4 linked regions of the Drosophila melanogaster genome follow. The protein of the gene in region 4 purifies or fractionates together with the protein of the main gene of each other region. This does not show direct contact. Each region holds a gene or a part of one and is shown on either strand. Other genes may lie near its edges.

Region 1 (7,827 bases), on a different chromosome or scaffold from region 4:
AATCACATAAGGAAGTGAATATTTCCACGAAGAACTTGAGCTTCGGCTAATCCACTTTTCCAAAACAATTCCATATGCAATCTCCAAGTAATTGGAATATTGACAAATGGACAAGAGTTTTAAATAGTCTGGCTAATAGAAGTTGACTGCGTCCACTGGGACTGGCCCGAATTCAACTCGAACTCAACTGCTTTTGTATCTGTATCTTTGGGTTGTCACCATGAAACATGCAACTTAATTAGCTGTAGTAAGCAGTGCCCAGTCTGAGATTTTTGTTGTAATTATTGGTGCAAAGTAGCAACACTCTGAGCTGGCCTTATCTGCTCGTTATCGGTGCGACTCAGCTTGGCCTGGCCAAAAACAGTATTGAAAATCGCTCATACGCCATGTAATTAGATTTGTAATAGCCACATCCGCCTCCAGGCCTAAACGTTTGGAAAATGCCTGGCTAGGCCACTTCTTGCATCGCCTTTTGGGATTTGCTGTCAGCGTGTTTTTGTGGGGCGTGTGATCTGCATTGTCTTATTAATTTTAATGACTGAATTATACAAAACTAGACGCACCAGCAACTTTTTGCCGGTTGCAACTTGCCAAACACTAGAGCGCCAACAACTTCCTTGATTACACACAGAACTCGAAGTCGAGTTAAGTGGAGTTCGTTTGTCTGGTTGTTGTTTGGTCTCGAATCGAATTCGTTTTGGTGTTGTTTTCTTGTGGGTATTTCGTTTTTTCTATATAATTTACGTACATGAATTTAATGTTTTAGCTGTGGCTATCATTAAGTCTAATTGACTTTTTATCGCTTATGGTGTTCTCAGTTCATTTTTGCTTATGCTTGTGAGAAAACCAAAGCAGAGTGAACTTGATCAGCAGATTGGTAGTTCATAGAGCGCGACATAGGGATGGAAAATTGTTATCGTGTTCAGAATTGTGAACTTAGGGTGTATTTAATGAAACCATATATAACCGCAGGTTATATGGAGAGTAACTGCAGAGAGTAGAACAGGAACGGTACGATGGCGCCCGAACAGGGATCTTAGTCCTGACCATACGGTCCCTGTTCGGCCGTCAGCTGAAGCTCGTGATAAATTGAATTGCCACCTCTAACTCAGATACAGATACTGCCCTCACAGGTGTGCAATCATGCTTAAAATCTCGCCCAGTAATTTGATTTCAGCACAAGTTCAGGGTGAGTAACTACACAAGTCACCGAATTGCTCTAGAACAATCTAAGATCGTACAGCAATCAGTGGCAGCAAAAAGTGAAAGTCAAATTAGATGCACTAGAACCTGCTGGATTTGTACAACAATAGAAAAAAAAAAACTTGGGGAAAAGGGGAATGCGAAGTGTGCACCCACATGAGAAGTAAATTCAATTAAAAAGCACTAATCGAGTAACGAATTATTTCGGACAGCCCCTCGCATAAATCTCCGCAACTGGGAGTCAAACGATTTGCATACAATTTGGCGACACACAACTCTAATTTACGAGCGTCAAAAGGGGCGTGAGTTGTTCAGCATGTTGTTGCCTTTTCAGTTGTTGTGGTGCAACTCAAAGTGGAAACGCTCGGCTTCGATTTAACTACTTAATTATGAAGCAGATTTTGGTCTATTTGCATTGGCAGCCAGAGAGCGAACATTCAGTGAAGCTGTCAAATGATCTGTGACCAAAATAGTTTTAGCATGCAGCAGGCTGATCAAAACAACCAAATTAGCTACAAAAACAAACGATTTACGTGCTATGAGCCACATTGCGCCATGTCCCCGTACAAAAAAAAAGAACTTCAAAGCAAAATGAAACCAACTTTGCAAATGATAATTGTTGGCCCAACCTCGAGGCTGAGTCGAAGGTAAAACAGCTCTGGCATAATACAGTAGCCAAGGAAGGGTGGCAAAAGGGGGAGGATGGGATTAATCCACCTTAGTTCACTTTGATTCCATAAATGAAAACACTGCTCCACGTTGGCCAGTGTGTTTTTCTAGAGCTTTTCACAGCGGTGTCTGCCTGACATTTGCTTTATTGAAGGTGGAAAAACAAAGCGTTGATTGGTACCCTAGAAACATAATCACGGAATGATATTTCAGACTCATTAAAAAATACCCACTCGTAATAGTCGGGCTACGAAACGATTTACGGAATGTAAGGAAACTGTATTTATTCTGGAAAATTTCTGATACGATGCTTTGATTTTGGAGTTGTATCTAATACGGTTTTTACAATATTAAGTATACGTATATATTAAAATTTAACTTAAGTTAAAGCTTACTCCACGGATTTGGTATGCATTTATATTTGCAAACTAATTAAAAATAAATACATGAAGGTTTAGACTCACTTTGATCTTAGTGCTGAGGGTTTTCCAGGGTAATTAAGTAAACGCAAATGTGATTTTTGCCAGCCATTGTTACAGTTTTGCACTTGGCTGTTGTCGCTGTTCCTCTTGGTATTAATCATTATAAAACGAGTAATAGTCAGGCTTTGCTGTACACATTGTAATGTGCACGACATTGTGACAAAGGCTGGGGTAAGCACGGCCTTGACCGAGTGGCGTCCAACATGTGGTATACTTAATACTTAATTGGCCACACTCGAGTCACAGCCAGCGATCCGCAGATGGGAGGGAGTCAGCTATGCAAATTGGCCTCCACCCAACCGACAATTATGTTAAACTATAACAAAAAATATATAATAACTCATTGCGGTCACAAGCTGGTCTAATCAAATGCATGTAAGTCGAACTAGTCACCTCTGCTCCATTTGCGAACTCCAGACTTGCGACTTGGGAAATTTCCTTAACCAGAATGGGGCGGACAAATTTCAGGTCCGACTATTTCCCCAGAAAAATCGCATAAATCACGAAAGGAAAAAATATTGAGTTGAGCCACGAGTTGAGTTGGAAAATTGACGGCTTTTAATTTCGACTTTTGAATGATTTGTTGGCAATCAAAGTATTTTGGGCGTCGCTTGGGAAATGCGAATCTGAATCAAAATCGAATGTATGCATTGGATGGACGTTGCTCAATGGCTAGCAGACAAACAGAATGCAATTGGTAGGCCATTAAAATGCAATTACAGGCCACCAGAGTTTGGTGGTCAGCTGCAATCGGAACCAGCACGAATAAAACCAAAAATCCAAAACAACCGAGTGGGTGGCATATTTGGTTTTGTAGCTGCGGATCGATAGATAGCCACGCAATTTGGCATCCTGTTTGGTGTCAATCAAGCCGCCTTCGATTGAGATTTATGCGACAATTTGGTTAGCATTTGCATAACGCCACGGGTCGAAATCACGAGGTGTTGGCTTTGGTGAAGGGTTCGGCTTAGTTTTAGATTCGACTAGCACTAAGCCCCGTTGATATGCAGATTGTCCATTTGGGGTCCAATCAGCAACGATGGCCAGGGTCGCTGAGTCGAAAGAATTGTCGCCATCGTAATTGTTTATTAATTTATGACTCATAAACTTTAAGTCGGTCTTTGTTCGCCCTGAGAGAATTTCGATTTTTATACAACTCTTTGATTCAATACACCGATATTCAAGGCTCAAAACAAGCATTTTGCAATTCTTTTCGAGCCTCGTGTTCTGACTGATCCCGTGATATGATTTCAAAGCTGTTTCAGAATTAAGCATGGCTATTAGGAAATCTGGCAGGCCATTCGAAATGCGGCAAATATGATTTACCTATGTTTCCAATTGACTACGCTCCTTCCACCCAAGTTACGCATACGCCATGTGCGCGATAACAAATCAGTTAAATATTAATGCATGCAAAATATAGGCAAACCAGCTGCCGTCCAGCAGCCACCAAAATGACCAACTGCACCAATCTCCACTCTGTGTTTGTCAGTTATTAAAGTGAGTAATTTTTCATGGACCACTTGAGTTTATTTGCTGCGTGGAGAGGCAGCTCCGATTGATCATTTGCATCTGGACAACAACATTTTCCACACCTACGGATCTCTATATCTCTAATGAGCTGTCAGTCAGTCAGTCAGCTGATTGATAATAAAGTGCGTGTTTTCGGTTTTAGAAAGGATTTAGGCAGATATGCTTAATAGGCTTGCAGGCTTATATTTAAATAATTTGAACACGTGAATTCAACGGTTTTGAATAAAACACAATATTCATAGATAAATTTAAGTGCTCTTTCAAAGGAAATGTTACTTAATGGCCAATTTAGATCACTGGAATAATTGCAAAATTACTAATAGGCAAAACCAGATTTAGCCGTAGAATTTTCTCAGCTGGAAACCCCCAGAAGACAATTGTTCATTTCCACGACGAAATGAATGGAAATATAAAAGTTTCCGTTAGAGCAAAAGTCGCCGACAATAGCTGACGAAAAAAATACAAATTGAATTAAGTGCTCGTGGTGGTTCTCCATGAAAATCTTGGGGATTCGGTGGCTAAAATTGGCGGTGGCTCAGTGGCTCAAGCCAAAGCCGCCGCGTGACTGATCTCTTTCGCGATCTGCTGGTCGGCAAATGCACAAAGCTTCGGCTCTCGGCCGTCGAAAGGGGCGTGTTGGCTCTCCCTCTCCGCCGCTCTTTGGGCCAAGATTTGTCAGAATATTTCTCATGTTGCGGGTATAAATAACAGGGCTACTTGAGACGTCTAAGCATAACACATTCAGCTCTTCGGTCAAGAAGTCCAAACAACACAAAACCAGCAAAATGTTCAAACTGGTAAGATCAGGATTAAAGGATTACCGCTCGTATGAAGTTAACATAGAAGTTTCTTTTCCGCAGATTGCCCTCATCTCTGCCCTGTGCGCCGTGGCCAATGCCGGAGTAATCTCGCCCTACAGCCATGGATATGGACTGGGATACGGCGCCGCCTTGGCTCCGGCTTATGCCGCTCCGGCTGTGATCTCGCACGCCCCGATCATCAAGAGCTACGCCGCTCCCATTGTCGCCCACCCGGTGGCCACCTCCTATGCCAACACCTACAAGGTGGCCACCAAGGCCATTCCAGTGGTCCATGCCGCTCCTCTGGTCCATGCCGTGCCTGCTCTGCACTCCACCTCCACCTACCATGGATCCTATGGCGGCTACGGTAGCTACGGTCTGGGATACGCCGGCTACGGACACGGAGCCTACCTGCACTAAGGATCTGGATGTCGGAAAGGATACCAGCCCCCCGTTGACGACCCCGATTGAAGTGAGAACATTAAGCGGATAATTCGCATTTTGCTGCCGTCAAAGTGTTGAATTTGCATTTCGTAGTCAGAAGCGGAAATACAAATTGTGTACAAAATCCCTCAAAAACCCAGACACCCACTTGGAGACAGAGACAACTAGAGAACTAAGGACAACTAACGGGAGGCGGCGAGAGCGAGAGAGATTGATGAAGGATCAAGTTTCGTTGATTTTGTTATTATGGTGCAACTCCATGCATTGTGGCTTCATAACATTTTGTAAATAAACGATAAATGACTCTTTAAACGAATATGATGGCTTATTTCATTTACTGGTTGCTTATATATGTTAGTTTAAAAATATTCACTTGAAATTATGACGGATGGATATTTAAGATCCATATCCAAATATGCCTTACTACACACAATTCAATGAAATCTTTACGATACCTAACGTTTTGGAAGCAATATGAATTTTCAGAGTAATGTGGAAATATTTTAATTTGCCGTTTTAACACACACACATTTCGCAATGTAAGCCACTTAACTCAAAACTAATTGTTAAGGGGACAAATGTCTATTTATGAAGTGTGGAATTATTTTCAATTTAGTTTAGTTGAGCGTGAAGTGATCAGTTTTATTCGCATTTATAAGGATTCCAGATAGTATTGCTAGTTCGTAGATGCGAGCATTTCACAAAAAACTGCTTGTTCAATGATTTTCAACTGCGAACTTACCCCAACCATCCGATCGCCATTCAGCATTCAATTGCACTTCAAATTAATTTTACTTGAGCAACTTGCTCGATTCATATCGACTCCCGTCGGGTGTTTTGAAACTTGCAAGGAAAAAACCAAATACCAAAAAAAATTGTTTTATTGCAACGCCTTGCCCGGCCCACCTGCTCACTATACCCCCCCCCCCTCCTCTAACAATTATCATTGCGGGGAAACGAAAGACTCAAGCGACAAACGCGTGCGCCTGTCAACAGGTTGACCAGTGAAAAGTGCGTTGAAATATCTTTTTATTAATGGCCGGCCAACTGTCGCAGCTAAATGCTTTTCGCCCAGTTTCGCAAATGAAAAATGGGAGCACATCAACAGCTGCTGAAAAGTGAATTGAGTCACTTAATTACCTTTTTAACGCCGGCCAGCTGATCCTGGACCGAAAATACCAACTATAATTCATGCGAAAATTGAAAAGTCGTGTATTGCGCTTTGCCGGCGGCGTAATGGAAATCAATTTACGATTTTACTTAATAAATGTTATCTCGCCGAGTGAAAATCATAAGATGATGGGTGGGGTTGCTAAATATAATTCATATCGCCCATAACAATAGGCCATTGTTGGCAGCTCTTCGACCTTGACAGCCATACAACTCAATTGTGCCCAGCTATAGGTTTAATTTGTCTCAGTTCAGCTCGGCATAAATTATGTCCCCCTGTTCATAAACCATGTCGTAGTTATGGGCTTATAGCTTATAAAGACAGCAATACCGTTAGCTAGTCAAGCGAAAATTCGGCAAACGACCTTCGATTATTTGCAGACAAAAGGTGGGCCACAACTTCTGCTTCCTACATCTCCCAGGCCATTGAATATTCATTCGAGCTCGTCGGTTGACACTAAGTGGATGCATTTTGTGGCAGGTGCTCTCATGGCACAATTGCAGCTCTCGCAAGAGATTCCCACAACCTCGCAAATGCAACACACCTGTTGTTTACCTGCCGCCCTGCAGATTGAGTGGAAAGTCTTACATGCTTAATTCTCGGTTTCCCCCTTCCAATGAGTAGAGTATATCTGGTTAGCCCGAGAGTATGCTAATTGAATTATTCAAGTGGAATTGGCATTACTCGTGCTCTAAATTATTAACAAGTCACTGATTTCAGGCAGGGCAAGGACCTTTTCCAGGATTCAAGACTAAAAGTCCAAACCCTCGGGCAGTGCAATTAAAACTGCATTGAAACGAGAATCTCTCTCTCTGCTGGCAAGTTACGATTCCAAGCATGGATAATTAATTTCAAAGGGCCAAGCTCCTTTCCGGGAAACTTATTCCTGGCCGCAGGACAGGCACGTACTGGGGAAAAGGGAACTACACACGTTTTCCGCTGACCTTGCCCAGGACATTGACCAGCTGCAAGCAAAATCATCCGCACACCCACACGCCAGCATCGCCAGCAGTAACTCGATTGTTATTTGTGAAATGGATTTGCAACCGATAATTAAATGCAGCTCTGACCTTGGAAGTCCTTGCACCGAGTTCAACGACTGACCTCACTGCGTATAAGCAAGAAGGAGCTTTATCGCATTGTATAAATAATATGGTGGGGCAACATTGAAATTCAAATGAAATTGCGATTGAAGGAAAGCGTGTACATATTCAAAATTGATGAGCGAAAATAATTTTATGATTTGGTATACATTCAACGGTTTCCTCGAAACGAAAAACCATTTGAATAATATTTGTAGCATATCTTCCAGCTAACAGGTTGTGTGCAATCAATTGAGTGAATCAAATCAGCTGAAACTTCAATAGCTTGCAACAAAGTATTATTTTGGTGGTGGATGGGGGATACAAATTCGCACTTGTTGTTGCCAAACACGTGCAGCGATTTAGCACGCATTACATTACAATGCGGCTCCGTTTCAAGAGCACCTGTTGCCAGCGGCGGCGGAAAATGTGTGGAAAATTTG
Region 2 (4,320 bases), 6.2 Mb from region 4:
TTATGTCCGCGGCGTTATGTCCACAATTAAATTAATGCACATAAAACCAACATGATTTGGTGCCCGTATCTGTTCTCCTTTGTGCGCGTTTTGCGGTCCACTCATTGTTCACACGTTCCATTTACATGGCCATTGGCGAGTATTTCCTCTGCAGCATTAAAATGTCAAATTACCCACACTGCCACAGCATTCAATCAATGCACCCATATCAAGGCTTAAAACGCCGCTCAGCCTGGCCAAAAAGCTGAGAAAAAAAAACCGAAGCAAACAAGAATACGGAGCCAAACACAAATCCGAGATCAAAAGTTCAGTCACGAAGCCACACAGAATCAAGCAGACTATGCGGCGCATGTTTCTTCTGCAGCCAAGCAATTTACATTCAATATGCAACTGCAACTGCAACTGGATTTGTAACCTGAAATTTTCGGAAATGTGTGGCTAATGTGAATTTAACTTATGGCTGTGGAACACTTTGCCCGTTGTGTCTAATTTGATTATGTGACTGAAGTGCTCGCGGTCAGTTATTTATTAATGGCTCAAGGCTTTGGGGCAAAAATTTCCCAACACTAAGGACTAGTCAAAATTATGCATTAGAAAAGTATTTGTGATCTCTTTTTTAATGTATATATTTTTTAATAATTATGAAGGTTTCGTTACCAGCCAAAAATTACTCATTTATTTATGGTCCATAAATTTTAAACTCTTTATGTTCATTTTTAACTTTGTTAATATTTAATTTTTAATTGAATAATTATTATGTTTATAATTAATGTTCTTTTCGAATGTGTTGATTTCCAAAGATTTATGTAAAATGGTAAGAAATACAAGTAGTTTATTTTATTTGTCGTGTTCATTAATGTAATTTTACCTGGGAAACAAACACTAACACTTCATGTATTTATGTGAGATTTTTACAAAAAATATATTAATAAGATATATTTGTACAAAGGGAAAATGATAATATAATAATGGCTACATATAACAATACTAACTGCGCAAAAAGACGTCGGAGGAAGGGCTCCGATCTAAAATTACATAAACTTTCTAAGGACTTTTAAAGCTGTTTACTAAAATTTTAACAATACAAAATTTATCACTTTTCGAATATTCTAGAAACAAACTCTGAGACTCTAAAACTCTAAAGTCGTTGATTAAAATTCATACGTATATGATTAAAAAAGTCTATATTGTTTGAACTGTACAATTAAGAGCGATTCTCCAAAAGAATTGATTGGATCTCTTTGGTAGATTAAGGCAAAATTAAACGAAATTACCCATTTGCTATGTTTGTTATGTTGGCTATTGGCAAGAAACGATTCTTTCTACTAAACTGTGCCCCCAGTTACTTGGTGTCTGAATACTTTCAGTAGTTCCCAAAGATCGCTACAGTTGGAGCTCGAGTGTTCACAGATACGCACTCATACAGGCGCAGATCACACGGACAACATGGACACTGTCCGTGTGAGGCACCCTCTTTCGAAAAAGCTCGCTTGCTGACGCATTTCCTTTGGGCCACGGGCTCACACGGACAGTTGGCCAAGAGAGAGAGGAGCTGTCGAACGGATGGAGAGCGAGCTTTTTCAACACGGCTGCTGCGATCTCGATTCACGTCGACTGCGCAGCCGCGGCTGAAGACAATCCCGCCACAGCATCGGCCATATAAAAGCTCGCTGCGTCTGTGCGAAATTATTCAGTTAACTGTTGCGGGTTGGTTGAGACATACAAGCCCATCTTGATCGCAAAGTGTTGAGGAGCTAACCTAGTGCAAAATGAAATCCATGGTATGTTCGGTCTGAGCTCAGTGTGTTCTCCTTCGAAGTGCTGCTTAGAATAATTGTGTTTCAAAAACTCGGATTCAGTTAAAGTGACTTGCAAAAGAATATATATATATATATTTATGGAACAATGTAGACATATCGGTGTTGCAATTAAAGTATTTTTAAAAAGGTTTTTGCACGACTTCATCAGCTCTTTCAAAAGCAAGGATAGAACGGATATTCTAAAATGTCTCTAGATATGTTACTTTTTTGTGGCATTTTGGTTTACCCAAGTAAATATGAACATGGTTTTAAGAAAGGATTTTTAGAGAGAAAACTAATTGAAATATTTAATTTTTCCATTACCAGTTCTACATTTAAATCTTATTGAAAGAAATCACATTTCATAATTACTAAAATCGAAAAGTGTTAAGGATCATTTTAACCCGAAAAGGATAGGCAGTCCTAGAATATGTTTTTAGCATTTAAAAAAGAAAACAAAAATGTAGATTCGTATTAAAAAGCTTTGAACGCGAAACTACAAAGAGTTGAATTTGCCTTCTTCCAATTTGTATTTTAACCGAATTATTGCGAAAATATCAAGCCACATTAAGTATACGCCGCATGCCCAATATGTCAGGGGGCCTAGGCCACAATTGAACTTGGCTGGTTGCCCAGCCAACTTTCCACCCAACATTGCATAATTGTCATATTCCAAATTATGGAGTAATCGGGCGGAGGTGGAGCCGGAAGCGGCTGCAGTTGCATAACCGCCCGACCAAGCCAATTGGGTTTCTATCGAATTTAACCCACTTGTCATTGCAGCTCATTTTCGGCCTTGTGGCGATGTGCGTGCTGGTGGCCAACGCCAGTGAGGAGGCACCCAAGAAGGCCGTCGAGACCGCCGAGCCCGCCGAGAAGAAGCAGGAGAAGCGCGGCATTGGCCACGGTCTGGGCTACGGATACGGACCATCGGCGGGAGGCGCCATTCTGGGATCCGGCATCGGTGTTGGAGTTCCAGTGGCTCCCGCTGTCGCTGAGCTGCCCACCCAGGTGCACACCAACACCGTGGTGAGGACCGTGCAGGTGCCCTACCAGGTGGAGCGTCACGTTCCCTACCCCGTCGAGAAGACCGTCACCTATCCCGTTAAGGTGCCCGTGCCCCAGCCCTACCCCGTGGAGAAGATCGTCCATGTGCCCGTCAAGCAGATCGTGAAGGTGCCCGTCGAGGTGCCCCAGCCCTACCCCGTCGAGAAGGTGATCCGTGTGCCCGTGAAGATCCCAGTTGATCGTCCCTACACCGTCCATGTCGACAAGCCATACCCCGTGCCCGTGGAGAAGCCCGTGCCATACACCGTCGAGAAGCGTGTGATCCACAAGGTGCCCGTCCATGTGGAGCGTCCAGTGCCCTACAAGGTGGCCGTGCCCGTGCCTGTCCACGTTGAGAGCCACGTCAAGCCCGCCGTGGCCGTCACCCACACCGTTGCCGCTGCTCCTGCCATCATCAGCCACGGCTACTCCGGACACGGAATCTCCGGATACGGAATTTCCGGACACGGAATCTCCTCCTACGGCAGCTCCTCCTACGGCGGCTCCGCCCACGGTGGCTACCTCCACAAAAAGTAGATGAAATCGCAATGCTGTCGAGGGCCAAGCGAGAAGTGAAGTCGGGTGAAGGCGAGCGAACCAACCAACAAGTCGAAAGTATCCAACAGACATTAAGAATCAAGCACCCCTCCCTCTCTTTCCACGCCCAGCAACCGCCAACGTACGACTTACAAATTTAGTTTTAGTTTGTGATACCAACCGAAATTCTGGAAGGATCGGAACCAGGAGAAAATCACACAACTGACGCAATCCATTATAGAAAGCTTGCCAAAACCCATCCGGGGCGTTTGAAAAGTGCCTGTCTCCTGGCATCCAAATCCATCGAGTGTACAGTTCTTTTGTAGACAATCACAGAGAAATAACTGCTGACGAGTTGCTCCTTCGACTTTTTCACGTAAATTTCTTTTCTATGAAATATTTGTACATATTTAAATAATGTAAATAAAACGAAAATTAAAAAAAAAAAACTTAAGACTTGTACTTTCAGAAATACTGGGCTTTCCATTAAAAAAAAAAAAGATAGAAGTTCGATAGGATATTTTTAAGGTATATAGGGTATTTTCACTTAATGAGCCTTTTGTTTAAGCTGAAAGCTTAATTTGTATTGCTGCATTGCTATTTTGGAATAAATACATTTTTTTACAGAAGTTATATATCTGTCAAGTTAAAACGTAGCCATAAAGGACTACATATTATATATTTACATATTATATATTTATATATAATATATATATATATTATATATTTATGGATATTTATTAATTTTTATGAGGGGGTGTGGAGTTACTCTTAAGTGGATTAATACAGCTTATTTTAGTCAAAGGATATTCCCACAACTATGCAATGATTTATTTATTTATTATAAATTTTGGGAATTATTCTGAATTGCATTACAGTGCGTCAAGTAATTGTTCGCAAACAATGTTTTTAAAACTGTAAATTTAGTGAGTAGGCC
Region 3 (9,813 bases), 7.2 Mb from region 4:
TTTAAGATTTATCTGACTTCTGTTGGAAACGTGCCGGCGATTACGACGATGCCAAGTAGTTGGCACAATTCAATTAAACAGACCAGCTGGCAACAGCGTGAGAAAATTGATTCCAGTCTGACTAGTACACGATACGGTAATAAATACTCAATAACGTGGCATTTTTAAAGTAATATAAATTGATTAATTTGAACCAACGAGCTTTCTTGACTTTTATTACCAATATTTTACGTCAAATTAAGTTAGTCAGATATTAAATGCAATCTTGAAATATGAGCCTTATTATTAAATGTCTTCTATGGGCTCTATACTCACCTGTTTTCTGACACCCGGAAAGATGACTAAAAATGCTACATAGAATGTGGCAAATAGCACTGAGACGGCTACGATTGAGACATCTCCGGTTACGGGTGTTCGATTTGAGAAGGAATATAGCGTTGGTCCCCCATCGTCTCGAAACGCGTCGAACCAGCCTTTCATGCTGGTTGCTGTTGCTGATGTCGGGGTTTTGGGATCTATGCGAGCCAAAAAAATTGAGATATTATATAAAAAGTATTGCGGCAAAAAACGCCAAAATTAATATGACGGATATATCTGCGTGGAGTATTTGGCAAGAGCACTTAATTTAAAAGATTTGCATTGCAAAATCATGCGAAACTCGGCACAACTGATCTCATCGCATCTGGCAGATACCACGTATCTGCAATTCGTGACTAAGCTTTTAGGTAGCAGATACTTTAGATTCAAGTGGCAGGCATCTCAATGCAAAATTAGTTTGGTAAACAGACAAATATATGCAAATATTTTTGTTAAGTTCATTGGGTATTTAAGAGTATCACCCGGAAATGTAAAATGTATAAAAGTTAAGTAATCTACACGGGGAACGACATAATGTTCTTTTAGAAACAGAAACAACCCAAATTGATTTGACCGCTCTACAATAATGTTTGCAAAGTTAACAAACCAGAAATGAGACCTAGAGCCGGATCTAAAGACAAACAAATTACCAATAAAACGCTACGTCGAAATCTTTAGATGCCATGTGGGGGGCTTGAACAATTAAGAAACCAAAATAGCAACTGAAACCGGCGAGAAACCATCATCAGCTTCGATTGTTGATTTCTGCTTCTGAAGCAATGACGTAGGCAAAAGTTATAATTAAGTGTCGATAAAATTGAATGGATTTAACACAATGGCTGCACGGTCGTAGCGATTTTATAAATACCCTGGCAAAAATGAAAAACATATGCTAATGGCAATCGAGGGAGGAACTCATGTATTACGTATAATTCAGTATATGTTATCTTGGTAAATGAATAAATAAATACAAAATTATTAATCTAAGGAAAAATACCCAAGAATGTATTACTACTTTTTCACTAATAAAATAATGATTTGATGACCTGTACCATTTGTAGTCTGTGTATATTTTTGACTTTAATGGCCCACAGTATTTCATCTTCATATTTGATAAATAATAACCTGTGTTGCTGAATTTAATACTTAACCCCCCACACAAACACACATCTCTTGATTGAAGGAGTATGGAAATTGCGCATACGCAACGTGTTACGTGCTTAGGCACGCGGATGTAGGTATCTTATACAGACATTAAGCTTGCCCTCAGTATGCTTCAACTGGGTTTTCCCACTCAGCACGAGTTCTGACTTGTGAAAGTTGAGTGGCTCGAGGGTAAACCAACACGAGGAATAAGAAAGAGAATTATACTCAGATCGCTGGCTTAAGGCTATGAAGTTGGCCAGTTCCGCAATGATTCTATTGTTCCTATTTTTAAATTTGTTTGCAAACCATTATTTCTTCATTAGCCGGCGTTTATTGCGGCAACAAGTCATCTAACATTTATTTTATCATTCAGTCTCATTCATCAAGTCTTAAAGTTCACTTACCAAACTTGTCAAGAAGAAACCGGCATACAAAATAATTGTTATTAACTTTTCGTGTTCACTTTGTTATTTTTTTTTATTTTTGTATAATCCAATTTTGATGTCCAATTTATAGCTTCGAGTTAGCCGTTAAGACGTATCTAAACAATCAAGAAATTTGCATTTATGATTAATGAATTAAATAATATAGACAGGCACAAATTTTACACACACATCGGTTATGCTTGTTGAAATATTTTGCCGAAAATATTCTTGTTTTCACAGCTGTGAACATGTATTCAATTATTTGATTTTAAACGGTTTGATTTATTCGAGATAAATTTATTAGAGTTATTTTTGAACTACATGTTCATTAGGATTTTTTATACATTGCACTTAGTAGATTTATTGCTGAGTTATATAACGAAGCTTTTGTTTTATTATATAGATGTAATTTATAGATTTCAAATAAATACATTTGGTTAAATTATAATTTTTTTTGTCGAATTCACCACTGCCGTAATAAATAAATGTTTAGAATTTATTAAAGAAATTATCCTTTGTTTAACTTCTATTAATTAATTCCGTATATTTAAGAAAAATGTTTTCCTTGCAGTTGCAATTTGCTGTTGCTGACTGCACCCCCATTGAGTCAATGGTTCTTTTTCCATTTTTTTTCATTGCTGCTGCTGCTGCTGGCAGTCAACCGGTTTAACTAGTCAAGTCCGCCGCCGCCGCCAGACTTTGCACATAAATTGCATTTTATTTTAAAAACCCGGTAATAAATTGTTTCATTTATAATTAGAATTTTTGCCAAGCTGACAGTCCGTGAAATCATGTTTGAAGGTGCGAATACCAAACATACTCGTATGAAACTCCACTTGCGGGAGTTCTCAACTATTTTGTTATGGATTCGATATCGTTGTGGTTGTTGGTGCTGCCCCTCTGGTTGACCTTCGCATATTTTTCGGACAGGAATTTGTAAGTCGCTACGATTCGCGTCAGTTTATTGGCTCAATTGCCTGCAAAAACAATGAACGTCGACGTCGGCGATGGACTTGGCACCAAAACGTAAGGTGCGACGCATCGCATGTGGAAATCTTCGAGCACATTACGTTATTACGTTATAAGCGCAAAACAAAAGCGACAACCAGCAACAATCGGACAATGGGAAAAACAGACATTACAGTTACAAAACGAAACGGAAAATATGCGACGAGTAGCACACAAAAGACGCCGGCGCACAGTGGTACAGTTATTAAAAGGATGGTAACATAATAATCCTTATATTGACGTATGAACATTGCAAAATTCATATAATTGTTCTTAAAACATCAACAAACTAACTTTTCAAGCAAATATGAAAACTGAGAGTATAACAATTCATAAACAAAAATAATAATAATAATCTTCAAATATCTCAGAGCTTAGCCATTCTAATTGGTATCACTTCTTTTAAGATTTCATCATAATATCTGAAAAAATTGGGTAAAACTTTTATTGTAACTAGTCAGTTAGTTAGTTATTGTGACTAGTCACCTGGTTTTTAAAATATATTATATATGAAACAATACGGATTAGTGAAACGAATTATTTGCTGAGCCCAAAGTCACGATCCACAATTTTATGCTCAAGAACATTAAATAGCAATAACCCACGGTGCAGCAACGCCCCACAAAGCAAGTGAGGCATCAGCAGCACCAGCATCCAAGTACCGTATGCAGCACACTTGCTGTGCGCACTCTCACTCTCACTTGCTCTCTTTCCCAAGCTCCAACCTCCTTCCATCTTGCTCCAATAATCTCTCTCTCTCTCTCTCTCTCGCACTCGCTCACACTGCCACAGAGACTGCAGCTTTTATTTTCAAGTCCAACGAAAGTGAAATTGCTGGCGCACCCCTTTCCGCCCACTATACCCCTCTCTCTAACACCTTTGCCGGTGGATTGAGGAAATGAAGTAAACATGAAATTGACATAATCAACACGCAGCTGGAAACTCTGCAAATGTCTTTTGACGAGACAGAGACAGCAAGAGAGGCACCAAGAGCTACAACAACAGGTTTCTGTGTCGCCCTGTTGATATTGCTTTTGTTGCTGTTGCTGTAATGCAGTGAGAGAAAATAATTACTCGGAATTGTATGATTTATGTCATATATGAATATTATGAATATCTTGATATTACTTTTTGTAGTACTGTTATTTATCAATATAATCCTTACTAATATATTAATAAAAATATTAGTAACTGTTTAAAACAATTTTTTCCCGTGCTAGCTTTGTTGTTGCTGCTGGCGGCGTGTGTTCAATGAGCGCTGGTGCGTGTAAATATGTAAGAGTTGCCTTCAACCGGCTTTTTCGTGCAACTTTTTTTTTTAGTTTTTTTGTAGCAGTAGTTTTTGTTTTCATTTTTGCGCTGGTCAGTTTGGTTTGAATCATCTGGCCATATAGGAAATGAAACGGGAGATGAAGTAATCCCAACGCCTGACATGGAAATTACATAGGCAAAACGCATCACAAAAATCAACCTGATGCACACACGTCATACAAATTCAACGACAACTAAAAGGGCAGGCAGGAAAATACAGTAAAAGGAAGGGGTATTAAAAAAAATACGCTCTTTATGTACGCTTTCGCGGAAAATACAAAAAAAAGGTTTAAAATTGCTGGAAGTTGTTATAATCAATTTTCTTTTTCATGTTTTAATAAATATCGAAATATCAAAGGTTTAGTTACTCCTGTTACTCCTGTAAGGGTAATAAAACATTGTGTTGGGTAATACTAAAGGGAAAATGTGCATTAGAAATTACCAACACAATTTTCCCGCTCCCACCCACACATACACCCATCACACATACGTTTGAGGAATGGCGGACTCCCTCTTTAGATGTTTGGGAATTTTTTTGTTTGATCTATCATATTTTATTTTTAGTTCTCGGTGTCTTTTAAGTCTCGGCAATCAGTTTGTTACCCAAAAAAATAAATAATTTATTATCCATTGTTCAGCATTCTATTTTTGCTTGAGTATACCAAACTATTTATTTACATATCTTATTGAATTTTTGATAATATGGATTTTGGTATTTTTTTATTTATATTTCTACAGAGAAACTTTTATTTGTATTGCTTCAGAGAAACTTATTTATTTTTGTTATTGTATTGCACTGAATATTTCGCACTTTAGTTGCAAAAAAATAAATTGCAACATTTAATTGCAACCAAGTTGATTAACTTTTTTATGTTTAAGGCAAAAATTTGCTGGCTTTAATTATATTTTATGTGCGCGCAAATTGTTAAGGTTTTTCGACACTGTTGTTTGTTTTAAGCTTTTTTGTTTTATTTTTGCAGACAACCACGAGGAGCAAAGCATAAATAACTAGATGAGCTTCAAACTTAATACCGTTATTTGCGTTATTATAACGCGGCTTTTGCGGTTTCTTTTTGTTTTGGCAAACTTATTTCGGCTTGAATTTTCGATTTTTGATTTTTCTCCACTTTTACGAACACGGTGGTTTTGTGCATGGCATAACACACAGACAAAACAAAAGCAAACAAATAAAAACACAATTCGATTTCGTCTTCGCTGCCTCTCGTTGTTTTTTTGTTGCAACTGATTTAAAATGCGCAGGCGCGGCGGCGACTTACAAAAATCTGCGTCCGTTTCGAGAGCTTGCCGTCGATCAACTGAACGCCGAGAGCGGTGAGCAAAAGACAAAACCTTCCCAAAAGAGAGCAACAGAGCGCCAAAGCTCCAAAGCGATGGGAGCTTTTTGCTCGACCGCTAATTGCAGGCTTAAGTGAGTGTGAATTTATGAAGCAGTCATGTCGGAAAGTCAGAAAATCAAAAAAAAAATTATTAAAATAAAAAATATCAAAAAATCCGACAGGGAACTTGGGCTATATCGCCAGGGCTATTCCTGATCAGGGACCTTGTCCGACTCTAGGCTGCCACACTTTCCAACCGCAAACTGGTTCATCTTGGGCCTGGCCTCACACTAAATTCACAGCCGAGCGGCAAATTATATACTTTAATCAGCCGGGCGAGAATAGCATTGGCACCTGTCACGAGGAGAAATAATATTAGTATAAACAGCTGTGCTCCGAAAATATTAGAACTTGCATTGTTACAAAAAAGGAAACAAAATAAAACTCTCAAACGTAATTTTATCATCTGACATTTTAATTTGGTTGATATAAATTAAGGCCCACTTAAAATATTAATGTATAATGCATTACTGGACATAAAAACAAAAGATTTATTTATAAGGTAGTATGTTAAAATGAGACATTTATTATTAAACCAAAATAAAACTTAATGAAACGTAATTGCATTGTATAATCAAAAATGCAATCGTTATAATATCAAAATTTCAAATTTTAAATTGCAATTTCCACTTTTCATACAACATTCTTTAATTTAAACAATTATGTCAGAAAAAATAGGTGCCAAATATTGGATAATATTAAAACGAATCCTCAAAAACTCCATCTTCGCAGCATTCCAACTTAAAAACCCCCAATACTTTTTCCTTTATTTAGTTATTTGCCAGCTGCTACTATTGCTAATTCAATTAGCATAGAGACCCGTCTGGTAATTAATATTTAATTTGCTAATTGAATTTTTACTAGCGACTACCGTGCCACGCACCAACGCCAAGCCAAATCACCAAGTTAGCCTCCGTGATCTCTGTTTATGTCCAGTCAATCCATCCGACTTGTGAATCTCGACAGTTGCAAATTTGGCTGGTCGACGCCAAAGCCACTTTTCAGCCGCAGTATGCTAGATCTTGTTGTCTTTGCCTTAGTAGTGAATCTTTTATGATGTGCAAAATTAGCCATAAAAACATACATAAACAAAAATGTAAATATTGCTGTAAAATCAGTAATTCATTATACGTAAGGCTCTCTAGAGTTTAGCCGATGTACTTAGTCTTTGGATTTAAAAAAGTATTATTCTGTGTTTGGAAAAAAATGTGGTGCTTAAAGCTGGCTGAAAAACTTCTAAAGTCGTATAACTATTTTTACAGCATGCAATTTATAAAGGAAGTATCTAAACTACTGAAATATTTACTTTATGTTAAAAATGCTTCGAAAAAGGTTTTTAAAACTGGTGTTTAGTTTTTTTTTTTTGCTTATTGGCAAACGGACTTCATCATAATCGATTCCCTAGCTACGAATAAACTTCCGCTACGCAGTCCAATGATTCATTCCCATTAAAATAAATATCTTGGGGCAAACCAATTCTTTTGACTGCTCTCACAGTGAATTCGTACACATGTTTAGTCACCACGAGTTCGTCGCCAAAGTCTTTTGTTCTAGCGTCATTTATATGCAAACCTATCACCTTGATGGGCGATAAAAACCAGAAAAGTCTGAAAAACATAAACAACAGCATCCCGGACCAGTGCAGCAAAGCGGTGACCACAAAGTTGAAATTAACGAAAATTCGCGCGGCAAGGTCAGTTCAAAGCGGTCAACGACTGCAGGCCGCACGGGAATGGCCAACATGAAATGCCCTTTTTCGAACAACAAAAATTTATCGATTGCAAGCAGTAAATAAAAATTATTCAGCAATAAAAGCGAAAAAAAAAAATTAAAATTAATCACTCGACAAGAGGAGATAACTTCTGAGCTACGCATAATGCGGCTACCGTTTAAGACTTAAATGAAAATATAAAAAACAGACACAAAATCCGGATGTGTCGCGATGCCTACGGATTTGGCGCGCCCAGACCGAGGACGGTCGTTGGTCCCTGGGGCCACAGAATCGCCGACGAAGTAGACCACAAAAAAAAACGACGGACACCGTACGTGTCCCATATCAGGAATGCAAACCACGCGGCGGTCACTTTCGGTTGGACATTGTTTCTGTTATTGCCGATTTTGGAACTGCTCGACTGACTCAGTTTCGGCGAACCTCCACTAAAAGCATTCATAACTCAACTGCCAGCTGTCAGCGGCAAAAAGAAGAAAAAAAAAAGCAGATACAAAATATCCCCAGGTTTATACCACGAAAAAAAAAGGGAAAGGGCAGTGTAATGGAAAATTATAATGGAAATAAAGCGAGTGCTGATGCTCTCGGAGTTACTTTGCAATCGTCTCAAGTTCAAGGTCTTCTCGATTTTGCCGTTCAGTGCGATGATAGTGCATTAAATGTGCTGCGATGGGAGATTGTTGTCTGTCGATGGAATGGTAATTGTAGTATAATTATAATGGGCTTAATGGAAGCCGCAGTGCTTGCGATGGCAAATAAGCAGATTGCTTTTAAAAATTATAATAACTTACTGGATTTGCAGGGCTTATGAATAAGCTATGATTAGTAAAATGTTGCAAACGGCTTAAGATTTTCTGTATTTTGTATTATTATTAATTGAGTGATAAAATAATATGTTTATTTCACGCTCCAAAAGGTTTACCCGAGTGAAGCGAACTATGCGTCACTAAAATTGACTTAAAACCAAATAAGGAAGTAATCGACTTGAATGTCAATTACAATTACATACGCACTCAGAGACATGCGCCGAGTAATAAATTAATCAAGTTGCGCATACGCCATGTAAGCCGGCCGACAGTCGCCGAAATTGAATTCAGTCGATTCAGTTGCCTTGATTTCAGCCCGACAAACTATAAACAAGCGAAATATACGTTACGCACAAATTAAATTCATGAAGTTCAAACTCAGAAATTCCAGCAAAAACAGTGGCTACCGACGAATTACGTGGCATGCGGCATGCCTGCCGCCTTTTCAGCCCCCGAATTCCCACATTTAATACATTTCGTTTTTTTTTTTTCTTTGGTCCGAGTGCTCGCAATGAGGAAGGTCAAGTGCAAGCGCCAAATGTGTTTTATATTGTTTTTCACATTAGTCTCAGCTTTTTGTTTAATTAATTTTTAATACAATTTTGGCCGGTGGCTTGTTTTGTTGACGAGCGCGTTGATGATGTGACAGGCGGCGGCACACACACACGACTTGGGTGGTTCTGGAGGCTAATTGTGGCAGTTGATGGAAGGGGGGCACTTAAAAGGTGCTCGGGCGCCACAGGTGCGACCTTGACGAGGTGGCAATGAGAAGAATTGGTAATTTTGAATTAAATAAAATCACTGTTTAGAACTACAATCCATCAAAAGTTATCTTCATTGATTGTATTTATTGGTAATCAAAAATGGTTTACTCTAAAACTTATATATACAAATGAGGAGTATTTAAATATAAATCAGTATATTTGAAATATGCTTACTTATATAAATTCTTAAAATAGCTCAAAAGTATTTAGTTGTAAGAAGTATGGCCAGGTTTTCCCTTGCTGATTGACCTCGGATGCGATACCCTTGCCACTAGTTCACAGAACCCTCACAAAAAAATTACATAGCCACCATTGACCGCCACTCTCGTTGTTATCGAATGTTTAAAATCGAATTTAATTACTTCCACCCACTAACAACTTCCGAGGCACACTTCGCACGGAAGCCTTGGATACAATAATAAGCCCAGCCATTGAGCACGCTACCTATATGGAAATATATGCTCATACAAACTGGAGTTTGATTGTCAATCATTGTCAATCAATTACCAAATAGTGGGCCACCCAGCGAGAAACCAAACGAATGTGACACTGAGTCGCTGGAAAACCTTTAAAGTTCAATCAACTGACAGACACAAGAGACTTAATCACCTGTTTATCAGCTAAGTGGGTTGGAGGGCTTATAAACCGATACCGATATCATATCATTTTATATTATATCATATTTTACCGAGCGCGCTGAAAGGCGAAAAGGAAGTGGAAACAAGCCGAGTCACAACAAGAAACCAAATTGAATCAAATTATATATGTTTAATACCCGAAATCCAGACCGATCCAAATACTGAGACTGAATCTAAATCGCTGCTCGTGGCTCGAGGTTAGCCTTGCCCATGGCATACAAAGCTGAAAATT
Region 4 (8,490 bases):
TTATAAATAAATATAAATAAAAAGGTTTATTTTGGTAAGTTCATCTAATGGTCGATCAAGCTGTAACGTATTTAGTTTTAATTGTTCGAACTAAATTAATTTAACTAGCCTGCATAGGCAATCACACTTGGACTCTGGCAAGGAATTTTCGAATTTTCGAGTGGGCGGCCGCCAAAAGGCATATTTTTTGTTTTAAATCGAACCGAGAGGCGCCAATGATGCAATTGCAATCGTAACGTAATCAATTGGTCAAGTATTGCCCCGTTAACCGTTAGCTGGCGATCAAGATCTGCGGTTAATTAATCCAATTACAATTAGCATGCTAAGCGAAATCCTAATGGTCATTAAGAGAAGGCAATAATTAACCACTTTAGTGGTCGCGGTTGTCACTACACAACTGTCACAACTAACAAAGAGCTTAGCCACACAATTGTTGCTAATTCAACGAGTTCTATATGAGTTTTATGGCCTGGTTAGTGTGTTCGTGACGTTAGCAAGTGGCTGTCGGAATTTTCTGGGCTATGGGCCGCCTTTTTTCCTGCATATTTTCCTTTTTGCCATCCAGCTGCTGCCACGAAAAATCACAGAAATCTGAACGAGTGTGTGCAACAAGTTTGTTTGCCGCTCATGCAACCCGCCAGATACTTGTCGCTCACTCGACTGCGAGTATTTGGCTACAGGTTGCAACTGCCGGCCGAACTATATTTAGGCCACCAACCAGTTGTGGGTGCGGATAAGAAAGCCGTGCCGTTATAGTGTTACGAAATCCATCCAGCAATGGAGCGGTATATCTTTTTATTTTGCTTCTATGGCTTCGAAAATGGATTGCAAGTGTCCACGGAAAAACGCCCTGTTCTGTTCGATTCTGCAGAATGAATCACACTCGACTGCAGAACTTGCTCTCGATCCTTCGCCGGAACACTGACCTTATTCAACAACTCATCGCCCACACGAGAGTGGATGGCTTAAATGATGTAATGCTTATATACACTTGCAAAAATATCTGTATGCGGATTCACAAAAAAGTCCAACTTTTCTACACACCTGCTCCATAAATGTGGTGTGGCATTTTTATATGCTTTTTATTGTCAATAAAACTAATGCGGATATGGCAAATTTTCGAGCAATAAACGATCTATTTGGAACTACTTTTTATTATCTTTAAGTTACTCAACTTATAATAAACACTTAAATTGAATAATTGTTTATATAGTATAAATTACAAAATTTATGAAGTCAACATTCTTTATATGTAATTAAATTGCACAGAAGTAGCTTGCCATGGTATTTAATATGCTTTTTATTTACCAGCAACAATTTACTATTTAAATAGTTCATCATATTAAGTCAGATAGTAGTTATCCATAATATGATCTAAAATCAACTACCTTTGAGATGCAAATTGGCAAACTTAGTTTCCGTGTGAACTAAAAGTGAACTGCCTTCGCCTTGCCAACGAATGAAGTGCGAATTGCGTAAACCACCAATAATAAAAGCAAATCCAACGCAGTGGGCCAAGTTGAACTCGATTCTGCGTAGAAACCAGAAACAGCTAAGTGCGTTCGGCTCAAGTGCAGTGAACCCGTTCGAAGCAGGAAGCAGCCGCAAAGTGCGTAAACTTGAACTTGTCGAAAGGGGGCTGGTGGTGGCGGTTTAAGCCAACTTGCATTCGGTAGCCGCGTCATGCGTTCTTTGGTTTTGCGTGCACGCAGCCGCCGATCGAGTTAAGCCCACTTGTGGCTAGCAAAAGAAAACAAAAAGTGAATGGCTGGGTCTAGATTTATGGCCAATTGCCATGGGGCTTGGCTGCCGACACGACACTAAACAACGCGGCAAAATGTTTCGCTGCCGTTTGTTTAGCTGCCACTTGGCTCCCCGCCCCCCAACTGAGTCGACTCCCCCTCCCACTCCATTCCCCATCCCCTTTCTTGGCCTCACGTTTCGCCGACAATTGACACTTTTATTGAAAGCCTAGGCATTTTTCGCTTATCATGTTTTCCGTCAAGTCTATTTTCGGTCAAAATGTTGGGGCATTAAGCCAGTATATTTAATATTTTTGTATTGAACTCACCATATGGGATACCCTGAAAATTATAATTTTAAATGTCTTATAAAAAAATATATAGACATAAGAAAGAACGCTTGAGTCGATTTCCTCAACTATCAGTTACTCCTTACTCAGCCGCTGGAAGTGCAAAGAAGAAAGTTCAACTATATTTTTGGCATACTGAAATTATTAATATTTAATATAAATTGCAATTTACTATTCATATATTTCACTAGATATAACAGCATATAGTCCTATATATCCCATCGGAATCGGGATCATCGCCTAACGGGTTTCAGGGGTCTGCAGTGGGCGTTAAGGCGGATTTGATCTGAACCGCATTACTTTGCATGGGCATTACTTAACTTCATCGCGGCCATATCAAGTTTGTGCACATTTTTCTATTAATAATTGCAAGTGCGAGTGTGCGGCGATCAAGGCAAACCGCCCCTGCTCCAGATCGAGTAGTACTCTCGTTTTCAGTTCAAAGACCAGTTCGGTTCGACGGCAGTTTGTACTATGAGTTGGCAACAAAGTTGTCCAGCTGCCGAGCAACTGCGTCTCATTTCTGGAGCGGCTTTTTGTCAACGCCCCTGCTGTAGCGCCGGTCTGAGGCCCCGGAATTGATTAATTACTGGCATCGGTAATCGGCCATCGATCGAGATTGTTTTAAGCCATTTAGCTGTCCAATGTTTGCTGCACTTGAAGGCGTGGGAGTTGGGCTAAGGGTGTGGCTTCTAATTGCCGTTAAAAAAGGTGAGTCGATCCCCTGGTAATTGCGTAAAAATTATTTGAAATAAATATTCTGGGACCACGATCTAGATACATCTGCTAATGGCATATAAATAGTTACTTAAGCGCTAGCAACCGTAACTAAAACGCCTTTCAACTGTTTTAATAACATTTTTTTATTCAAAAAGAAACAAATTTCCATGTGACAACAGCGGGGTGGATAAATATAGACCAGAGAGTAAAGCGGAAAGCGATAGACTGGATAGGATTGACTTAGATTGCTGAAGAAATGAGAACCCAACGGGATCTCAGCAGAGGACAGACCTTTCGGTAACTTAAAAAACCAAAAAATGTGGTAAAGATGCGAGCAAGTGGCGGTCAGGATCAATGTAGGGGTAATCCAGAAGTCATTTCAGGTGATTACCAGGTGCCTGGTGCGGGTTCCAAGTTCACGGAAGCAGCGGACTGCACATGTCCTGGCAGAGGAGCCACATGGACAGCTCCACGGGTCTTGGCCACATAGCTGGCCTCCGGAGCGGCGACGGCCACCACGGCGGGGGCGTGGGCAGCAACCACAGCGGCGGGAACGGGAGCGGCAACCACCGCTGGTCCAGACTGGATGAGCACGGGTCCGGCTGGGGACAGGGACAGGGGAACGGCAGCGGGAACCGCAGATGCCTGGATGGCCACCGAACCGGCGACGGCGGGAGAACCGACCACCAGACCATGGGCGGAGGTCAGGAGAGGCACCACCGAGCTGTTGACACCCCAGGCCAAAGCGAACAGGACTACGACAACGGCGAACTGAAAATAAGAATCTTGATTTAGATGGAAACTCAGGAACTATGATAAAAATAACTTATTTGAAGTTTTTTTAATTTTGGAGTTTCTCTGAATGGGGTCGTAATGTGTTCAGCGATCTGATATTAATTTATGTATAACTCGATAAAGATCTTTTATGTCTACTTTTGCAGCATACCAATTTGTATAGAAATGTTTTACTAAAAACAACATAAATCCCTTCATGTTGTCCTTTTACATAACACTAGCTGTAACTAAGCTCCAGTTATCCGATATCCCTTCAATCTCACCTTCATGTTGGCTTTTGTGATCTCAGTGACGCTTGAAACGAAACTAACTGACATCTGCCCGTTGGCCAAGTGCTTTTATAGCTCCGATCCATAATTTCATTTAGCATATAAGGCCAGTTCTCGGATTGATCAGCCATGTGTATGTTTGCTGCACAAATGCGGAAACCGGGCCAGAGAACAAACCACGTAATACCTTCAGTCCCAACCCCAACCCCAACCCGAACCCCTTGACCTTCCCGAATCAATAACCACAATTCATTGACGACAATTCAAGTGCGCGACAATTAGCCACACCGGTTGACATGACGAAAACAAGACTGGTCTCATTTGATTCGGCCAATCCATAACCATGACTTCAATATCTGTATATGATATACACTAAAGCCATGTCTCGGGTGCCCCTAACAACAATGGATAGGCAAATTACAAGCCACCGCAGCACCACTGTGCCTCTGTACCACCATCGCCCCACACACATTCAGCACCACTGGCTGTCCATTTAAATTTCATCAGCAGAATGTAATTAAATTCACTTCGGTTAGCTCGCCCTGAAATTAATGTGCCGGCCGCCAGTTGTCGGCAAACTGATCCATTTTGGTCACCGACTATAGATTTCTCGATTGCATTTGCATATCACTAATGCAGTCAACGCCAACATATGTCCAGGAATACCATATAAAAATCAGAGTCCATATGTAGGAAACGATTTCACTACAAATATTACCAATCCTTAAAATATGAAAATTAAATTTTGTAAATTTTATTTGGTATTTAAATATAAAATAATGGTTTATAATTTAATATATGTTAAGTTATACCCCCTTTTGTAGAGTAATCCGTAATTGTATATATAGAACATATTTATTGATTCCATTAAGAAACGATAAGTAAATCAAACCACTTTCGCTTTTAAGTCGGAAAGCAATTCTACGTAATAAATTACAAAACATTTGAATATCAGTAGAGATTGTCATACGTTTAATTTTTTCTAAGTAAGAGCTGTACATTTTAGGGTAAATTTTTGTGAAATTAAAAATTTAACAACACTATATCTTTCATTTAACAGTCAATTAAAGCTTTTGTCAAAGCAAAATCTTCAGTCAGTATACACAAATAACTAATTCCGTTTCAAGCAAGCATACTTTATATTTTCGAGTACTATACTTGATGTAAAGAACTCCCACTGAGAAGCAGAATCAGGCTTGGTTCTAGAAAGGATTCGGAGGCTTTAAAATGGCACGCCTGGTGTTTACGGAGAAAGATCACAATGCATACGATCCCAAAAAGTATAAGGTAACCACTGCCGGAATACAGTCCATAAAATGAGCATTAATCTCCAACTTTTATGTTCATCCAAAGGTGGTGCACAAGAACCACTGGCGACAGGTCAGCCTGCTGCTGCAGCCTTCCAACAAGAAGTGGTGGGAGGATCCCGATGTCATTGTTGCGTGAGTAGAGAACATTGAGGGTCGAACCACCAGCCAGGTGGGCGGTGGGGAAGTTTGAGTGGTTGGCACACGTGTGTCAGAATTCATTGCCGTCAAGTGCTTTTCGTGCTGTTTATGGCTACACTGAGAGGAATACTTAGTAATTGTAGGTAAATCAAAAAAGGATTTTGCATCAAGTGAATAGGATTCGGAATCAAAAAAAATCTTTTGAATTTAATCTTGAAATACAAATTTATACCTTAACAACACAAAACTCCTTTCCAAAATTAGCTGCTTTTCTCCTGTGCACTCGAGTTGGCCAATTGGTTGGTTCGGTGACTCTGACACCGATTGGCTCCAATGCAGCGCGCTGCCATTCAATTAAGATTCTTTGCCACAGCCGCAGCCATAATATTTTATTGCATCCATCAAATTGTCAGACTTACACATAAAGTATTGGCCTGCCACACCCAGAAATATTTCCATGCCAATTAAATGTGCGATGGGGAAATATTCGCACTCAATTGCATCACATCGTCTGATAAGATTATTTATCACTAATCCATAAACTAATCCTGCTGCCCAAACTTGTCAAAAAAAAATCTTCTTCGGCTTGAGTGGGTGGTTCTAATTTCCGGACAACATTCAGTCACGCGATGCTAACGAAGTCTTTGATAGATGGCTCCAACTTCTCGAATGCAAATGAACACCCAGAGGCGCGAAGGGGAGAAAGTGCAGCCATCAGCTGTCGGCGAAACTTTGGCAAGTAATTGGGGAACAGGAGTGATGGAAACGGGAAATTGACTTGGTTATTCTCACTGGGTCGCCGGAAAACTCACGTTTCGCGGGTTGCCTTGCTTTATGTAGCACTAAAGTCGGGAATTGTGTGGCACCAAGGTTAAGATTCTTGCCAGATATGGGGTAAATTGAAACTGAACGGACTGTGTCCTTAGAAAACTGCGCACTTTTGAGCTTGCATAAAGCAAATACCGAGAGAAAAGTTAAAATATAAGGGTTCTTAAGTGATCTATTGTGAAAGAACTTTTGCAGTGCAACTAAAGTGCTTTAGATAATTATGCACCAAAGAAGATGCATTTATAAATCAATAGAAGAAAAAGCTAATTTAATGTATTCAATTTTCTATTAAATTGCTATCTTAGTAAAACCTCACTGTATAGCGAAGGTACCCTACGAAATGGGGCTAATGTCAAAACAGTGTGTGGTGGAGAAATCCATTGGGCAACCCCTCGCTCCATTAGCATGGGTTTCACTTGCCTTTTGTCTGGGCTGCGTATCCACAATGATGCGAGGTGCCAGGAGGCGAGGGCCCACCCAAAAAACAATCGCGAACGGGGTAATGAAAAGGCATTTGGGTGTGGGAAAAAAGAAATACCATATAATACACCAATGCAATGCCGACACTTTGCGTGTTCAATAAAAAGGAAAGCGGCGGCAGGCGGAAAATGGTGTCAGTGCGAGGACAACGAAGAAGGAAAGTACTTAAGCGGCGCGTCACTCAATCAGAATGATATTATTTTTAATGGCGCAAAATGGATACAATAAACAGCGAGTACGAGCGCGTGGCTGCCACGCAACGGACACGCCGACGGTGGTGGCGCCTGATCCCACCTAGAATCAGAGAATCACCAACAGAACCAGAAGCACAGCCAGAATCGTGTGCGATGGTAGCCATATAAAGTTCGGTCGTCGCAGGATGAGGACGAAGTTTTAAACGGAATCGGAAACTTAATTACATTTCAATTTGGGCCTAAACAAACTGTTCCGCATATGTCACTCACGGCCATGAAGTCTGATGCCGCCGGGATCGGAGTGGTGGGCGTGGGCGGAACTGTTGCACTATCCGATTCCCGGGAATGGGCACCCCCGCCGCCGGGCAACCGATGTGCCACAGTGACTATGCTCCTGGCCCAGCGGATTGCACGCAATGCTTGCTGGTCAGTCGACGAGGAGCCCTCGTACAGTGCGAACAAGATGAACGTCTGGCAAACGCTGGAGTACCTCTCGGGGTTGAGTCTGCGTAAGAAGTACAACTACGAGGGCTTCTCGGACACCCAGAATGTGATCAGAACGCTCACGCCATCGTGGCGGCGCGATAGTTTTGCCGAGAAGGCCAAGGCCGAGGAACTGACTGGCGGAGCTGCTGCCTCGACGGTCAAGTACACCGATGAGCGCTCCTCGAGTGCTCCCATCATTGTCATCCAGGATCCGGGCATAAGTACCAGCTTCCAGAGCAGTGATAACGTTGCCTTGGGCGTCCGTTCCAGGGCAAAAAGTCCATCTGGTCTTCGCAGGAAACATCGCAGTCGGAAGCGTAATACTCCGCAGCTAGATCCTGAGTACGCTCTCTCGCCGGAGGATCTGCAGGACCTAGTCAAGTGCAAGTAAGACTAATCCTAGAGATTTCAATTCAACCAAAAGTTGCTGTTTTTGCACTGTGAGTCTACTTTAATTTATAATTATAATTAAGAATCAATTCATTTGATCCGCTTTAAAAGACATATCACTTAGAAAGGCTCAAGTAATTTTTCTAAGTGTAACAATTCATAAAAGCTTTTTGCAAAGCTTACCAGGAACAAAAACCATTGTGGGCTATAATAAAATGATATCCAATACTCAAACCCTTGATTAGAACGCATATCAATACTTTCATAAATATACATATTTCAGTGCCCAAATATGTTTAAAAAAAACAACAAAATTTAAAAAAAATCCATTCTATCCCATATTTTCTGTTTCACAAGCAATATGAAGTGAATAACAGCAGGCAAAATGGGATTTGAAGAACAAAAACATAGATTATGTTGCGACCTTCAGTCGAGAGAAAAATGCCACCAAGGAAACTGGCAATGCTTGTAAACAAAACTAACTGAAATTGAAAATGACGACAGCGGGAAAGTGCATTTATATTCCACCGAAGGTTACACATTAAGATTCTCAGATTCTCAAAGTTATTTCTTGGGGCTCTTTGGACACGAATCGCGAAGCCGGAAGACGTTGCAATTAAAGTTGGCGGAGCAGGTGAAGGAGACCATTGTAGAAGTGGGCGAACCGGAAATCAAATGACTTGCTGACGGGCTGCAAATGTGAATGGCATTTGTGCTGCCATTTTTAGCTAACAAATTTCAATTGTTTTTAAATCATAAAATTGAACTATCAACTTCGAAATCATTTA

What was found.
Region 1: the proteins of CG7203 (region 4) and CG4962 purify together in Drosophila melanogaster (affinity purification with mass spectrometry, with the first as the bait; one large-scale study listed by BioGRID). This does not show direct contact.
Region 2: the proteins of CG7203 (region 4) and Vajk2 purify together in Drosophila melanogaster (affinity purification with mass spectrometry, with the first as the bait; one large-scale study listed by BioGRID). This does not show direct contact.
Region 3: the proteins of CG7203 (region 4) and mol purify together in Drosophila melanogaster (affinity purification with mass spectrometry, with the first as the bait; one large-scale study listed by BioGRID). This does not show direct contact.

The regions. Positions count from the first base shown.
Region 1 is NT_037436.4:16,292,329-16,300,155, reverse strand, and holds CG4962 (uncharacterized protein), read left to right. Parts: upstream 1-4,608; 5' UTR 4,609-4,672; coding exon 4,673-4,684; intron 4,685-4,747; coding exon 4,748-5,107; 3' UTR 5,108-5,445; downstream 5,446-7,827.
Region 2 is NT_033779.5:13,932,059-13,936,378, reverse strand, and holds Vajk2 (Vajk2), read left to right. Parts: upstream 1-1,686; 5' UTR 1,687-1,769; coding exon 1,770-1,781; intron 1,782-2,582; coding exon 2,583-3,383; 3' UTR 3,384-3,820; downstream 3,821-4,320.
Region 3 is NT_033779.5:14,991,992-15,001,804, forward strand, and holds the start of mol (moladietz), read right to left. Parts: upstream 5,569-9,813; 5' UTR 5,525-5,568; exon of another isoform or gene 4,723-5,524; intron 2,045-4,722; 5' UTR 1,908-2,044; intron 516-1,907; 5' UTR 481-515; coding exon 316-480; intron 1-315.
Region 4 is NT_033779.5:7,749,232-7,757,721, forward strand, and holds CG7203 (uncharacterized protein), read right to left. Parts: upstream 3,956-8,490; 5' UTR 3,877-3,955; coding exon 3,871-3,876; intron 3,584-3,870; coding exon 3,200-3,583; 3' UTR 2,939-3,199; downstream 1-2,938. Other genes in the region: CG46025 (uncharacterized protein), read left to right, coding at 7,086-7,699.